Notamacropus eugenii: one gene and its partners. The protein of the gene in region 2 interacts with the protein of the main gene of each other region in a pairwise test. Links are inferred from orthologs where the notes say so. Each region holds a gene or a part of one and is shown on either strand. Other genes may lie near its edges. The genes, in order: FAM107A, CCDC136 and TCEA2.

Region 1 (4,665 bases), about 350 Mb from region 2:
TTTTGAGCTCTTCCACAACTTAAAACCAATTCATATTTTTTGGGAGGTTTTGGATGCTGGAGCTTTGATTTTGTTGTGTTCTTCTGTGTTTAGATCTTCCTTGTCACCATAGCAACTTCCTATGATCAGAATTTTTTTCTGCTTGCTCACTTTTCCAGTCTATTTCTTGACTTTTAACTCCTTGTTAAAGTGGGGCTCTGCTTCTAAGGTGGAGGGCATACTGTCCCATACTTCAAGGATTTCGTACAGATATTTTCAGAGATATTTCTAGGGACCTGTAAGTTTTCAGTTCTTCCAAGGTGGTATGATCTAAGGAGAGGTGTGTTTCTACTCTCAGGACAGTGGTCTGTGAGTGACCACAAGCACTCTTTTCTGTCTTGGAACTGTGATGGGGTGCCCTGCTCCACTGAGGCTGCAAGCTGTAATGTGCTAGAGTGCTTCTCCTTGCCCTGGGACTGCCACCCAGAACTGCGACCCAGATCAGAGTATGAGCAAAGCAATAGAGTCTTGCCTCAGTGCTAGCAAAGAGGATACTGTAACCTCCTTCTGACCAGTTGTTTGACTCCTTTACTGTCTGTGGGCTGCTACTACAGAGGTAGCCACTGCCACTGCTGATTCAGTGGCTCCCAAGTTCTGCTCCTGGTTTTCTGGGGCCAGACTATACTGGCATGACCTGTACTGGACTGAGCTCTACTCTCACCCAGGTGGCACAGATCTTTCATACCAACCTTCTAAGTTGTTTTTGGCTGGAAAATTATTTCACCCCATCCTTTTGTGGGTTCTACCTTTCTAGAAATTTTTTATGGCATTATTTAAAGGTATTCACAGGGGTTTGGGGGAGAGATCAGGCAAGTCATTGCCTTTTCTCTAACATTTTGGCTCTGCCTCCTAAATTTGATAATTGTTTTTAAAGGAAGATTTGAACAATTTGATAAATTTGATACAGATTTAAATAGCTGCCACAGTGGACATGTTTTATACAATCTTCCATGTATTCAATCCGTGCCTCTCTACATTAGATCTCTGGGACCAAGGCTGTTCATTAAAATTCATCAGAATTCAGCTGCTTTCATGGGGTCTTCCTGGCAACTGGAGTTGTTTGTCATTTATTTCTCCAGATCATTTTACAAGTAAGGAAACTGAGGCAGAGTGAAGTGACTTGCCCAGGGTCACAGAGGTAGTGTCTGAGGTCAGATTTGAACTCAGGTCCTCCTGACTTCAGAACTAGCACTCTCTCCACCTGGCTGCTGGTTTATAAATTCCCAAGATTATAGGTCAAGAGTTGGTAGGGACTTCGAAAGTCATCTACTCCCATCTCTTCATTTTACAAGTGAAGAAACTGAGGCACCAAAAGTCTCAGTGATACCCCAGTGACTTAAGTAAGATTGTAAGTAACAAAGTCAGCATTTGAACCTTGGTGCCTCTGTGATTCAGTTTCCTCATCTATAATGCTACCTTCCTTCCAGGAAGACTGTGAAGAAAAGTGGATGTTCATCCATACTGGCCCTGGGATCCCAGCAGCCTGGCCCTCTCAACAGTAACATAATCCCCTGAAATCACCCAGGAAAGGTTTTGTGAGAGGAGCAGATCAAAATGTACCGCCTGGCAGGGGAGGGCAGGGGCTGTGCTGAGCCTGCCCATCTCACATGACTGCTTTCCGTCTCTGAAAAGATCTTACTGAAGTGAGAGAGAGAGAGAGAGCTCAGTAGCAGAGCTCCTGCCAAAAAGCTATGCACACTTGCCAGCATGTGCAGCCTCCGAGATTCAACTAGCTTCCCCCGTGCCCGGCCGGCACTCATGGCCCAGAGAGATATGGGGATCAGGGTGCCCCCTGAGGCAACAGGTCTCTACCGAGCCATGCTGGTTAAATCAGGTAAGAGCAAGCCTGGAGTGGGACCCTCTCCCCTGCTCCCCAGCTGGGCAAAGAATGTGTTTGCCTGCTTCCCTGTGCCAGTGTCCACCTGGGCACCTGTCCTGGCCCATCCTGGCATTTTTCTGGCCATCATGTACTGAAGAGTTTTAAGTCGGGATCCTAGTCCCACTACCAGACATGTGATTCCTTAATATGACTGATTTTAAATGATTGCTGGCACTTCTCTAACTGTGGGTATTATGATTATCAAGGAGGTATTTCTTTGGTTTCTTTTAGTTTGTTTTTTAACAAGTCCTACAGTCCAGGTAAGAAACTCCTAGTTTCAGGGGAAATAGCTTGCCTTTTGTAAAGGGGGAAAGGGATCGGATGGTTCCTATTTCTTTTACAATTTCATTTTGAGAGAGATATTTTCAATAGTGCTCATAATTCTGCGGGTTCAATCTTCCTTCTAATTCAAAAACCTGATCCATGAGAAATCTGCCAGTCTATGCTTCAGTCAAGGGCAAAGAGGTAGACCCAGCTCTGTAACCAAGTGAGGCACCCTGAGTGCCTTTCTGGGGCCCTGCCAGCTGCCAGCACTGGAGCCCAAGGCTAGCTGGGGCTTTTTTGTGTTGTTCCTGGAGTCTTGGGAAGCATCAGACAGCAAAATTGGAGGGATTTGGTCTGATTCAGCGGCTCCTGGAGTGGATCATTCCGGGACATGCTGAGAATAGCTAAACTCAGAAGCCTGCACTGGGACACAAAATGATGCTGCCTGGAGAGACCAATGCAGCCTTTCTGAGGTGGGAGTCAGTCAGCCTGGACTGATTGAATGTCCGCTGTCTGGAGAGATCTGAGCTGGAAGCAGGGGATGAAAAAATATATCAAAAAAACTTTCAAATCATGGAATGCCCAAGCTGGAAGAGAATTCAGAACTCCAGTCACCCTCCCTCCTCCCCATTTATATTCATTTGACAACTGAAATTCAGCGAAGTGAAGGGACCGGTCCAGGATCACACAGCTCCTTGGTGGAAAAGATGGAACCCTGATCCGCAAACTAGTGTTTATTCAGTGTCCTTTAAAATTCAATCAAATTCCACTTTCTCCAGGAAGCCTTCCTTGATCTCTCCCCACCCCCACATTCACAGGTAATAATCTTATCTAACAGTGGAATCACCTGCTAAAGAGGTAGGGGACTCTCCCTATATTTGAAGTGTGGAGGCTTAAGGTAAGGGGAATTCTTGTTCCAGTATGGATTGGATTAAGTTGCTGAGGTCCCTTCCAACACTGGGATGCTTTCATTTTCTGTGATTCTTTGTAAAGTTATATTCTATACATCCCTCTAGGTTTCAGTCCTATAGATGAAAACCAAGTGGCTCCTTGGGCTCTCTCATTTATCTTGCTTAGTACCCACAATTTGTGCTCTTGTGTATGGACCTCTGTGGCCACGAGCTCCATTGCTGACTTCCTTCTTGCATTTTTGACTCCTGAGAATTATGGGGTGTCTCTACTGCTGTTATTGTAACCATGCTCTGTGGTCCTGAAAGTTGGTTTCTCCTTTCACTCTCCTCCCTTTCCAGTTTGAAGTCCCTTTCTTTTACTAGCATTGCAGATCTCTGAGCAAATATATTTTTTAGCCTTTACTATCTACAATCCATCCCTAGCCAAGAGTGTATCATTCCTATATTTTAAGCCTTGGTCCAAAAATTAATTTTTTTTGTTTTCAGGTAAACTACTCAAGTAGTTCTTCACTCCTCAGATCTGTCTTTCTCTTCCAAAACTTCTGTTTTAATTGACAAACATGATGAAGAGACCACTGGGGCCCCTAAGGTCTTCATTTTCTTGCCCAGGACTTCAATGTCCCTACCATGTTTGCTAACTTTCTTATGGTAGTGTAATGTGTCCCTAGATTTATCACGGGAAGTAGGAAGCAAGTTTGTCAAGTCCTGTTGTGGCTATGTGCACCTAGATGTGGGTTTCATTTCTGCCTCACTCTCCTCAGATTCTAGGACTGTACCTGGCACGTAGTAGCTATGTCCAAAGGTTTGCTGATTGACAGTTTGACAAACAGCTGTCTTGGTTTCCTCAGCAGAGAGTCACCAGCCACCACTGACTTTCCTCTGACCCTTACTGAGTAACCTCTCTCCTTAGAGCCCTGCCTCCTCTCAGGATGGCTCAGCTCAGCCCTCTGCAGGGAGAGTCCATCACCTAATCCTCATGCCCCCACTTTTGTCACTCATATTTCCCTTTCTTAAAGTTCTTACCTTCTTCTCCCCTCTCATGCCCTGACCCACATCAGGGCACTCAGATCCCTCTTCAGCTCCTTCCTTTCTTTTTTTGTTTGTTTGTTTATTTTTACTTGGAAGTTTTTCTATTTTTAAAGGCATATTTTTACATCCCTTAGCAGGAAAGAGATTCCTTTTTTCTTTCATCTTTTATTGTAGGACAGAGACCAGCCTGAACTGTGTGCATTCATAGTCATCCCCTTGCCATGGCAGAAGGACTGAAAGCAGCCACCCTCTCTGCAGGCCATTGTGCCCGTCTCTCCTTCCCCTTCTGTCCTCTAAGTGTCAGAAGAGGGATCCCCTGGAGTCTTTTCCTGGCACAGGGCAGACTGGGTGTCTTCTGAAAATCCCCTCCACCTTGGAGATGCTGTGCTCTCTGGCACTGTAATAAACAGTGTGTGAGAGTGTAAGCGATGCCAGTTTTTAAGAATGTAGTCCTGAGCTGGTGCTGTGTAATGGAGTCAGTTCTAATGACCAAGTTTGGTCCCAAGTGGCCAGAGATGGGGGAATGGAACATTGCATAGTTGG
Region 2 (4,665 bases):
GAGGAGACTGGAGAGAGGACTGACCAGAAAACTGGGACCATATGGACTCACGACCTGCCTCTGACACATCCTGACTGTGGGATCCCAAGCAAATCAGGTAATCTCTGGGTCCCAGGCACCTCTCTAAGGCTACAGGGCACATTGGTTGACATTGGTAGACAGAGATCCCTATTAATGAAACCAAGCCAAAACAAACAAAAAACAACCCAACACTATGTGTACACAATTCTTATAATATACAGTGACAATTATATATCTACCATATCTACAAAAAGCTGATCTGGCTGAGGGCCCTATAACTAGCCTAAACTCCAATCCCTGCTTTGGCCATTAGAAAAGATTAAGACCTGGCCATCTGCCCTATCGAAGAGTGCACATCCGCCAGCTCCCAACAGCTTGCAATCTCTTTCTCTGGAATAATCAAAACACCACTACCTTTACTAGACTGACATGCCAATATACATTCAGACTATGACTTGAAGTCTGCTGAGGCCAAAGCTCACACTACCAACACTGTCCCTACATTGTTCCTGGGGCACTCTTCCTCTTCTTCCACTGTGTCCTCTGAAGCCTGTTCTAATGCTAATGAAACTGCCTGGCAGAATTAGACCTATGTCCTTACCTCCAGAAGTTACTTTGAAGATAGTTCATATTTGTTGCTGTTTAGTCATTTCTGTCATGCCCAACTTTTCTTGACCCCATCTAGACTTTTCTTGGCAAAGAGACTGGAGAAGTTTGTTGTTTCTCCAGCTCATTTGACAGATGGGGAAACGGAGGCAAACTGAGCTAAGTGACTTGCCCAGGGTCACACAGTTGGTGTTTGAGGCCAGATTTCAACTCAGGAAGACAAGTCTTCCTTCCTCCAGGCCCAGCACTCTATCCACTGTGCCATTTAGCACCCCCATATTTCATATTTACTTCCAAATACATTGTTTCCTTCCCTTAGATCATAAGGTCCTTGAGGGCAGGGACTGCTACATTTGATTTGTATTCCGAGCACTTAACAAAGTGACTGTTATGAGGAAAGATATCTCACTATAGCTTGTGGAATTCATTAGGGAATTGTATTAGAGAAAGAGCAAGGTAGCAGTTTAGGGTTTACAAACAAGGAAACTATTTCAGATCCCATTTAACAAAGGGCTGCGTAGTCAATGGATATAATAAAGCCTAATGACCCCGACTGACTATAGAATTGATGGGAGGCAGGGAAGAGAGAGGACCAGAAATACCGGGCTTCATCCCCCCTGTCCCTTCCATGCGTCTCTTTCCAGCCTCCACGTCACCTTAGGTTCCCCACTTGGTCTGTGGGCCTGGAAGCATCCCAGAGCCAGGACAAGCCCTGAACCCGGGGCAGGGAGCTGGCCAGTCCAGGGACTTCGGCCTTGGGAGGAGGGTGTTCTGCTTAAGATAATACAGGGCAGATTATTCCATCATCCCAGGGGGATGCTCCGCTTTACCTCGGCAGCAAAGCCAGGGATATCGGCCAGGCCCCGGGGTTCCTCTGCGCAGACCCCCTCCCCACTTCGCAGCGACTTGGGGGGAGGTGCCGGGAGGCTGTTGAGCCCTCTCCCAGCAGGGCTCCCACGGGAGCAGCCACTTCCTGAACCTAGCCGTCCATCCAAGCTCTCGGTTTGCCCCCCAGTGAGCCTGTACTGTTCTTGCTTCTTTGGGCCAAGGGTCAAGGTGCTCCCACCTGAGCCAGGAATGTGTGCGAGCCCCTTCCCAGGAGCACGCCAGGCGGGCGGCGCGCAGTGACCGGCCGGGTGGGGCTCCGGGACCCTGAGAAGAGAGAGGCTCCAGCTCCCCCCTCCCCACCCCACTCCCGCCTGCGGTTGCGTCAGGTGGGCCGGAGAGGAGACAGGAGGGGAGCCCGGGGGGCTGGGCTCGGTCCCCGCCTGGGGCACGCCTTCCCAGCAGCCCCTCCTCCGCTCCTCCCGCTCCCCAGGCTCTGCGGCTCGGTCCCGAGCAGGGCCGGCAGCGGCTGCGGCCATGGACACGGAAGCTGGGGATGGACCCGAAGCCACGAGCCGGCCCAGCCAGTGCTCAGGTCAGGGCTTTTGCTCATCCGGCTTCTCCTTGCCCTTCTCCATTTCTCCTCCCCTCCTCCTTCCCCAGGCCGAGGTCTCCATCTTTCCCATCCCTCTCCCCGCTCTCCCCGCTCTCCCCGCACGTCCAGCCCGCCGCTGCATCCTGCCTTGAGAGGCTCTCTGGTCATCCTTGTCCCCCCAGCCCCCGCGAAGCGGCTTCACCGCCCTCCCCTCCCTCCCTGCTCGGCTCTGACCCCGGGGCTCTTGTGGGTGCGCACAGATTCTCAGATCCCCTCTGGCACTGGGCACAGTGAAGAGTGGATAATTGGGGGGGGGGAGGAGTAGAAAATCAGGTAGTATGGTGATGATGGCATTTTATTCCCACTCCAGATAACAGAACCCCCTTTGCCATTGCCCCTTCCCTAACCCCCAAGCTTTTTCTCTTCACTTCCTCTCTCCCGTTCCCTCCATCTCTACCTTCTGCTCCCTCTCTCATCTTCCTCTCTTTCCTAAATATACATTCTCTGGCTTATGTATGGAGAGAGACAGAGACAGAGCTGGGTTTAACAGACCTAGTCAGTTCTGACTGTCCAGTCAAAGTCAATAGTAGAACTGGAAATATGGGAGATAAGAAGCAGTAGATGTGGGAATGTAAGCAGGGGAAGGGGAAGGGAGTGATTCACAGGGTCAGGGTCAGCAGCAGAGCTGGGTGTGGAGGAAGGACAGAGAGAAGATATGGGGACCTGTGCTAGGCAGGAGGGGGGGGAGGGGAGAAGAGATTCACAGAGCCAGGGTCAGTTGCAGAATTGGGGGTGGGGCAGATAGAAGCAGATGTAGGGGCCTGTGTTGGGGCAGGGGCTGTCCAGAGAGTCAGAGTCAGAAGCAGAGCTAGGGGTGGAGAGTGGGCAGAGAGAAGCAGAGATCTGTTGTAGAGGGGATTCACAGTCAGGGTCAGCAGCAGAGGGGGAGTAGGGCAGGCAGAAGTGGAGACCTACAGTAAGAGGAGGGAGTTAGAACCGATGGAAGCAGTAGAAGTGGGGGACCTGTGTTGGTAGGAGGAATCAGAGTCAGGAATCAGCAGCAGAGCTGGGAGTGGGGCAGCCAGCAACAGCAGCAGAGATGAGGACTTTATTTGTATTAGGATGGGAGGGGGGAAATTCAGAGGCAGAGTCAGGTGGAGGGATGGCAGTGGGGTGGGGTAGAGTAGAAAGCAGCAGCAGAAGTGGAAACCTGGGCCAGAATGGGGATGATGGCAGGGCCAGGGTCAGCAGCAAAGCTGGGAGTGGGGTGGGAGAGTACAGCAATTGGAACCAGCAGAGGGGCCATAGCTGGGGGATAGGGGACATCAGAGCTAGGAATGGGGAGATGCTTGGACTGACATTAGGATTCAAGCACCCATGACTTGCCTAGGATGGGTATACTCCCCAGCCTTTCCTGTGCCTCTCATACTTCTCTTTCCATAGGATTTCCAGTGACCCCTGCAAAGTCCTGTGAGGGATCTGAGGGCTGTGAGAGGAAGAAAGGCCAATGTTGGGGATCCCTGGAGCGCTGGGGTCAAACCATGGATGGTGAGTTTTCTTGCCCTAAAATGCTTTCTTTTCTTTCTCCCTTCCTACTTTTCAACTCCTTTCTTCTCTCCCTCCCCCTGCAGCTCCTAGCTTTGACTCCATTATTTCCCCCGAGCTTTTCCTAGAACCTTCCTCATCTCAAACTAAGGCCCAGTAGTCACCCTAAGGCTTTGGGGAAGGGAAGCAACTACTTCAAGGTTTCTTCCTGAACACACACGACTTAACTAGGGTCTATCTCATGGGGCTGACTCTGCTAGAAGGAAGCCACACCACCCCAAAAGATTTCCTGATGAGCTTTTTCATCTGAGACACTGGTCCTCACTTCATCCCAACAATGTTACCTGCTCCTGCCCCCAAAATTGTGGTCTGTCTTTCAAGCAAGGCTCCCCTCTCCCCACAGCTTAGTCCTTCAAGGTTGGAAGGAAGACACCAGAGTGGAAGAGGCACAGTCTTATCCAGAGGGCTACAATTCAACCAGCATTCTGCTGCACTGCTCTCTATGAAGCCATCCCCATTCAGGGCTTAAGGAACATATTATCACCTAGGGAGCAATCCCACATTTGCTTCTCTGGAGCCCAGATGGCTTCCAAGGCTTCTACCCAAAGTCTGAATTTCCCTAGGCCAGTGGTCAAGCAGATGTCCTGGGAATTGATTCTTGACCTGGGTGAGGGCTTGAAATCAATAATTCTACATTTCTTTCCAGCTCTCTGATTCTCTCTTTACTTGTCCCAAGTTCCAGCAGTCAGAACTAGAAGGAGCCAGGTATTCATGGGCAAGCTTTCCTTTCTTCTCAGCATCATGCTTTGAAGCACCCCCACCACCAAAAAAAAAAAGCCTGTCATTGTGAGAGGCCCCACCCAAATGAAACTGGTCAGCAAACTCCAGGAAAGGTCAGGGAGAAAGATGAGAATACCCTGAGCCCCAATTCTATAGGCATCAATTGAGGGGGTGTCACTGGAGATCTGCAGATCGCACCAATGCATCATCTCTACCTGGCCACCTTGACTGGTGTAATCATTTGCAAGTCTGAGACACCTCAGCTATAAAAAGGTGATCCTCATGCTGTGTGT
Region 3 (4,665 bases), on a different chromosome or scaffold from region 2:
TATTCTCTGCCTTTTCTCTATTCTCTCTCTTCTGGTCCAGTGCAATCAGTGGCCAAGGCTTGTCCTGTTTTCCGAAATATCCTAAGGTCTGTGTCTTTCTTTCTATTCCCAAAGCCCCCCTCCAAGTCCAGGCCTAGACCAGTTGTTCCATCAGCTTCTCAGCTTGCTTTCCTGCTTTGGGCCTCTCACCAACCCCGAAAAGGCTGCCAGACGGATCCCCTCCTCCAAAGAGCCCTTAGAGATAAAAAATCCAAACCCTTTAATGTGCCATTCTCTTCTTCCCCAGCCTTCCAACTACTGCCTGGCTCTAATTTGGGGGGCAGCTACGTGGTGCAGTGGATAGAGCACCAGTGCAGGAGTCAGGAGAGCCTGAGTTCAAATCTCACCTCAGACACTTGACACTCACTAGCTGTGTGACCTTGGGCAAGTCACTTAACCCCAACTGCCTCATCCTAGGTCATCTCCAGTCATTCTGATGCATATCTTGTCATTGGATCCAGATGGCTCTGGAGGAGAAGTGAGGCTGGTGACCTGCACAGTCCTCCCTCACTCAAAACAAAGTCAAGTGCAAGCCATGTCATCATTTCTCTGATGGCGTGGTCTTCTTCAGCTCTAATTCACTTTTCCAGCCTCATCTCTCAGTCCTCATGACTAACATGTGCGTAACGCATTTCTCCCAGCTCCTGCACAACTTAGCTTCACTCCAGCCCTTCACACTTCGCGTTTTCACTCTTTTGCTGGGACCTCGCCACAGACTGAGAGCTCCGGGCTGGGGATGCCGATGGGCTGGGGGGTGGGTAACGCGAGGGTGACGTGCTGTGCCCCCAGACCAGGCCGGCGTCCGCGTCACGGCGAGCTCCGGGAGCGGCTGGAGGGGCGGGGATCCTCACCCCTTCTCTTTCCCCAGCCTGCCTTTCTTCCTCCCCTCACCTTCTGGTCCTGTTTCGCCCCTTTCACCTCCCCACGTCTCCACTCTCAAGGCCCCCTTTCTAAGAGAAGTTCTGTGCCACCATCTCCCTCCCAAAGTCGCACCGCCAGCCCACCCAGGAGGTAAAGATTCCACAGCCTCAGTGCGTTCCCACGAGTTAAAGTTCCCACTAAGGAAGCTTCTCCGAGTGAATTGTGGGGCTTGGAGTCTTCCCGTGATGCGGAGAGGCCACAGACGGCGGGTCAGAGACTACGCTTCCCACAACGCCGTGCGAGGGAGAGTTCGCTTGGTAGACGCGAACCTGGGGCGGGGCAGGCACGGAAACTACACGTCCCAGGATGCAGCGCGGCGGAGCCGCCGAGCCTGAGGCGTTTGAACGGCTGCTCTCCCGCCTGGTTGCTCTCGGGCAGCGGCGGCTGCGTGGTGGTTGCGGGGAGCTGGGGGCGGGACAGGACGAGCAGCTGAGGGCCCGGATTGCGGCAGCGGGAGGAGGAGCCCCGGGCCAGGCGGTGCGGCGGCGGTGGCGGCGGCAGCAGGGACAGGGCCTGAGCGAGCCGCCCACGGGAAGATGATGGGGAAGGAGGAGGAGATCGTGCGGATCGCCAAGCGGCTGGACAAGATGGTGACCAAGAAGAGCACGGTGAGGTCACGGTCCCCGCGCGCCTCCAGACTCCCCGAAATTGCCCCCCGAAACCTCCCCCATTCCTTCCAGAGATATCCCTCCACGGAGAGTCCGGCCAGCCACGACTCCCCTGAGGGACCCCTCTCGAGGACCCCAAGATTTCTCTCATGCCCTGCAGGGTACCTCAGACACCCTGTCCCATTTTCTGGATGTCCCTGAGATCCTTTTAGAGACTTCCCTAAGAGACCTTGAGAGACGCCTTCCCCGGCCCCCTCTCCCCATGCGCCCCAAACCAGATCAGAGCTGAACTTTGTGACTTCACCATAGAAATACCCCTTAGAAATCTCCCAGGCCGTTACTTCTCCCAGAAACCCTGAGACAGAAGTCACCGAGATAGCCACCCTTGACATCCCCAGAGACTCCACTCAGAGACCCTCTGATGGCCACCAGCGACCTCCCCCAGAGACCCTCTGATAGCCACCAGCGACCTCCCCCAGAGGCTCCACTCAGAGACCCTCTGATAGCCACCAGCGACCTCCCCCAGAGACCCTCTGATAGCCACCAGCGACCTCCCCCAGAGACCCTCTGATAGCCACCAACGACCTCCCCCAGAGGCTCCACTCAGAGACCCTCTGATAGCCACCAGCGACCTCCCTCAGAGACTCCACTCAGAGACCCTCTGATAGCCACCAGCGACCTCCCCCAGAGGCTCCACTCAGAGACCCTCTGATAGCCACCAGCGACCTCCCCCAGAGGCTCCACTCAGAGACCCTCTGATAGCCACCAGCGACCTCCCCCAGAGACCCTCTGATAGCCACCAGCGACCTCCCCCAGAGGCTCCACTCAGAGACCCTCTGATAGCCACCAGCGACCTCCCCCAGAGGCTCCACTCAGAGACCCTCTGATAGCCACCAGCGACCTCGCCCAGAGGCTCCACTCAGAGACCCTCTGATAGCCACCAGCGACCTCCCCCAGAGACCCTCTGATAGCCACCAGCGACCTCCCCCAGAGGCTCCACTCAGAGACCCTCTGATAGCCACCAGCGACCTCCCCCAGAGGCTCCACTCAGAGACCCTCTGATAGCCACCAGCGACCTCCCCCAGAGACTCCACTCAGACTCTGTGCTGGCCACCAGGGACATGCTCCAGAGATTTCCGCTCAGACACCCTTTCTCAGGGCTTCTGCTTACAGACTCTCTGATAGATATGCATGTCACCCTGGACCCCTCAAATTCCCCTCTATTTAAAAGTTCCTTACGGAACCTCAGATTCCTGTGAGACCTTGGGAGCTCTCCCCCTCAGATTCCTCAAACCCCTCTCCAAATTCCCCTCAAAGATTACTAGCTTCAATCCATAGACATTGAAGTATCTGCTTTGTGCCACGCACTATGCTAAGCTTTCTTTCCTAGAGACCCCCCAACAGAGGGTACTCAGATTTACAGGCACCAGCAAGGGACCCTTCTTCCCACTCCTCACTACTCTACTACCCGCTACTTGTGTGACCTTGACCAAGTCTCTTCTTGTTGCAATCGGTTTCCTAAAATGAAAGCAGTTGGTCTAGATGATCTCACAGAGTTCTAAATCCTGGATCCAGGTATTGGGCTGTTTCTCTGAGATCTTTGCTATAGGTCTTCCTGCTACAGCTGCCCCTGTCTTAGTTTCCTTAACTGTAAAGTGAGGATGATAACACTGACCCTTGGGTTTGTTGTGGTCAAAGTACTTTTTAGCATTTTGTAGGGCTACCTTATAGAGCTGATGTAAGGGTCAAATCAAATAAGATAATATATGCAGACTTTAAAATGCCATATATGTGTTAGCTATAATTGTGGCTATTATTTGTAAGCATTGAAGTACTATAGAAATATGATAAATTATTATTGTTTCTGCCTTGAGTCTTTTCCTAGAGCTATACTCAGACCACAGCTAAAACTGAGACTTGTAATCCCTGCCCTATACTTCCCATACCACCACAAAATTAAGCTTTTCTATTCAAGGGTCAGTAAGACCCTGATCAGAGACACTAACTTTGGAGGTAGTTTATAGGTCTGCAGATTGCGGACCTGAGTTTGAATCCTGCAGCTTTACTAGCTATGTGAATCTGGGAAAGTCACTTTACTTCTCTGTCTTCAGTTTCTTCATCTACAAAATAAGGGGCTTGGACTAGTTGATATTCTACTGTGAATTCTTTGATCTTATAACTGTCCTTTCAGAGGTCACTTAAGAACCTATAAATACTCCTGCTTAATAAATATACAGTATTTTTTTTCCACCGACACTATGATCCTTAATTCTTTAACTCCCTTTCTCCCCAGCTTTTGGCCCTTGTTTATCTCATCTGAGGCTCCCCTGGCCTCACTGAGAGGCAACCTCCATCCCATATGACTCTATGTTTGTGTCTATTATCTTCCCTTAAAGGCTCTTTCTTGGGAGCTGTCCACAAACTCTATCTTTCAGATTCTCACATTTTTAAAAAGCCTTATTTTTATTGATTTGATTTAATTTTTGTATTAATATCACCTCCATTTCCTCATACATTCCTATCCCCTCTCCTATTCAGTGAACCATCTCTTGTAACAAAGAATAAAAAAAGAGAAAAAGCAGTTCAGCAAAACCAACACGTGAACTGTGTCTGACAGTATATGGAATATTCCACAATCATAGTCCTCTTTCTCCGCAAAGAAGAGAGGAAAACACAGTTTTCCTAACCCTTCTTGGGAACCAGGCTTGGTCATTATAATTATATACTGTTTGGTTTCCTCTTTTGTTCTCTCCATTTACGTTACTGTAGTCAGTGTCTCACAAACATTTGTTAAAAATCTTGGGTTTGCTGAGAACTATGCTGAGTGCTGAGTGAGATGGAGAATTTAGATAAGACATGGAGCTTGCCATTCTGAAATTTTTCTAGTACATACACAAATAGCATTAAAATTATGTAAGTTCATAAGAGAACTACAGAGCAAGTGTGATACATCTTCTTAGGGGTGGGGGGAGGGAAAGATTATTCTTGAATAGTGGGATCAGGAAAGGCTTAATGGAAGAGATGACTTTTAAGTCTTAAGGGAGAACAACAGGGATAGGGAGCATCAAAAGCATAGGGGGTAGTGTGTCAGTTTGGG

The links.
Region 1: the proteins of CCDC136 (region 2) and FAM107A interact in binary tests that used the Homo sapiens proteins (3 or more experiments, as listed by UniProt). The two-hybrid records come from large-scale screens. The link is inferred for Notamacropus eugenii from reciprocal best matches to the Homo sapiens genes CCDC136 and FAM107A.
Region 3: the proteins of CCDC136 (region 2) and TCEA2 interact in binary tests that used the Homo sapiens proteins (3 or more experiments, as listed by UniProt). The two-hybrid records come from large-scale screens. The link is inferred for Notamacropus eugenii from reciprocal best matches to the Homo sapiens genes CCDC136 and TCEA2.

What each region holds. Positions count from the first base shown.
Region 1 is NC_092874.1:466,690,814-466,695,478, forward strand, and holds the start of FAM107A (actin-associated protein FAM107A), read left to right. Parts: upstream 1-1,644; 5' UTR 1,645-1,746; coding exon 1,747-1,873; intron 1,874-4,665. UniProt on the Homo sapiens protein: Stress-inducible actin-binding protein that plays a role in synaptic and cognitive functions by modulating actin filamentous (F-actin) dynamics. Mediates polymerization of globular actin to F-actin. Also binds to, stabilizes and bundles F-actin.
Region 2 is NC_092874.1:121,335,159-121,339,823, reverse strand, and holds the start of CCDC136 (coiled-coil domain-containing protein 136), read left to right. Parts: upstream 1-1,529; 5' UTR 1,530-1,989; coding exon 1,990-2,047; intron 2,048-3,490; coding exon 3,491-3,595; intron 3,596-4,665. UniProt on the Homo sapiens protein: May play a role in acrosome formation in spermatogenesis and in fertilization.
Region 3 is NC_092872.1:496,078,140-496,082,804, reverse strand, and holds the start of TCEA2 (transcription elongation factor A protein 2), read left to right. Parts: upstream 1-1,250; 5' UTR 1,251-1,496; coding exon 1,497-1,568; intron 1,569-4,665. UniProt on the Homo sapiens protein: Necessary for efficient RNA polymerase II transcription elongation past template-encoded arresting sites.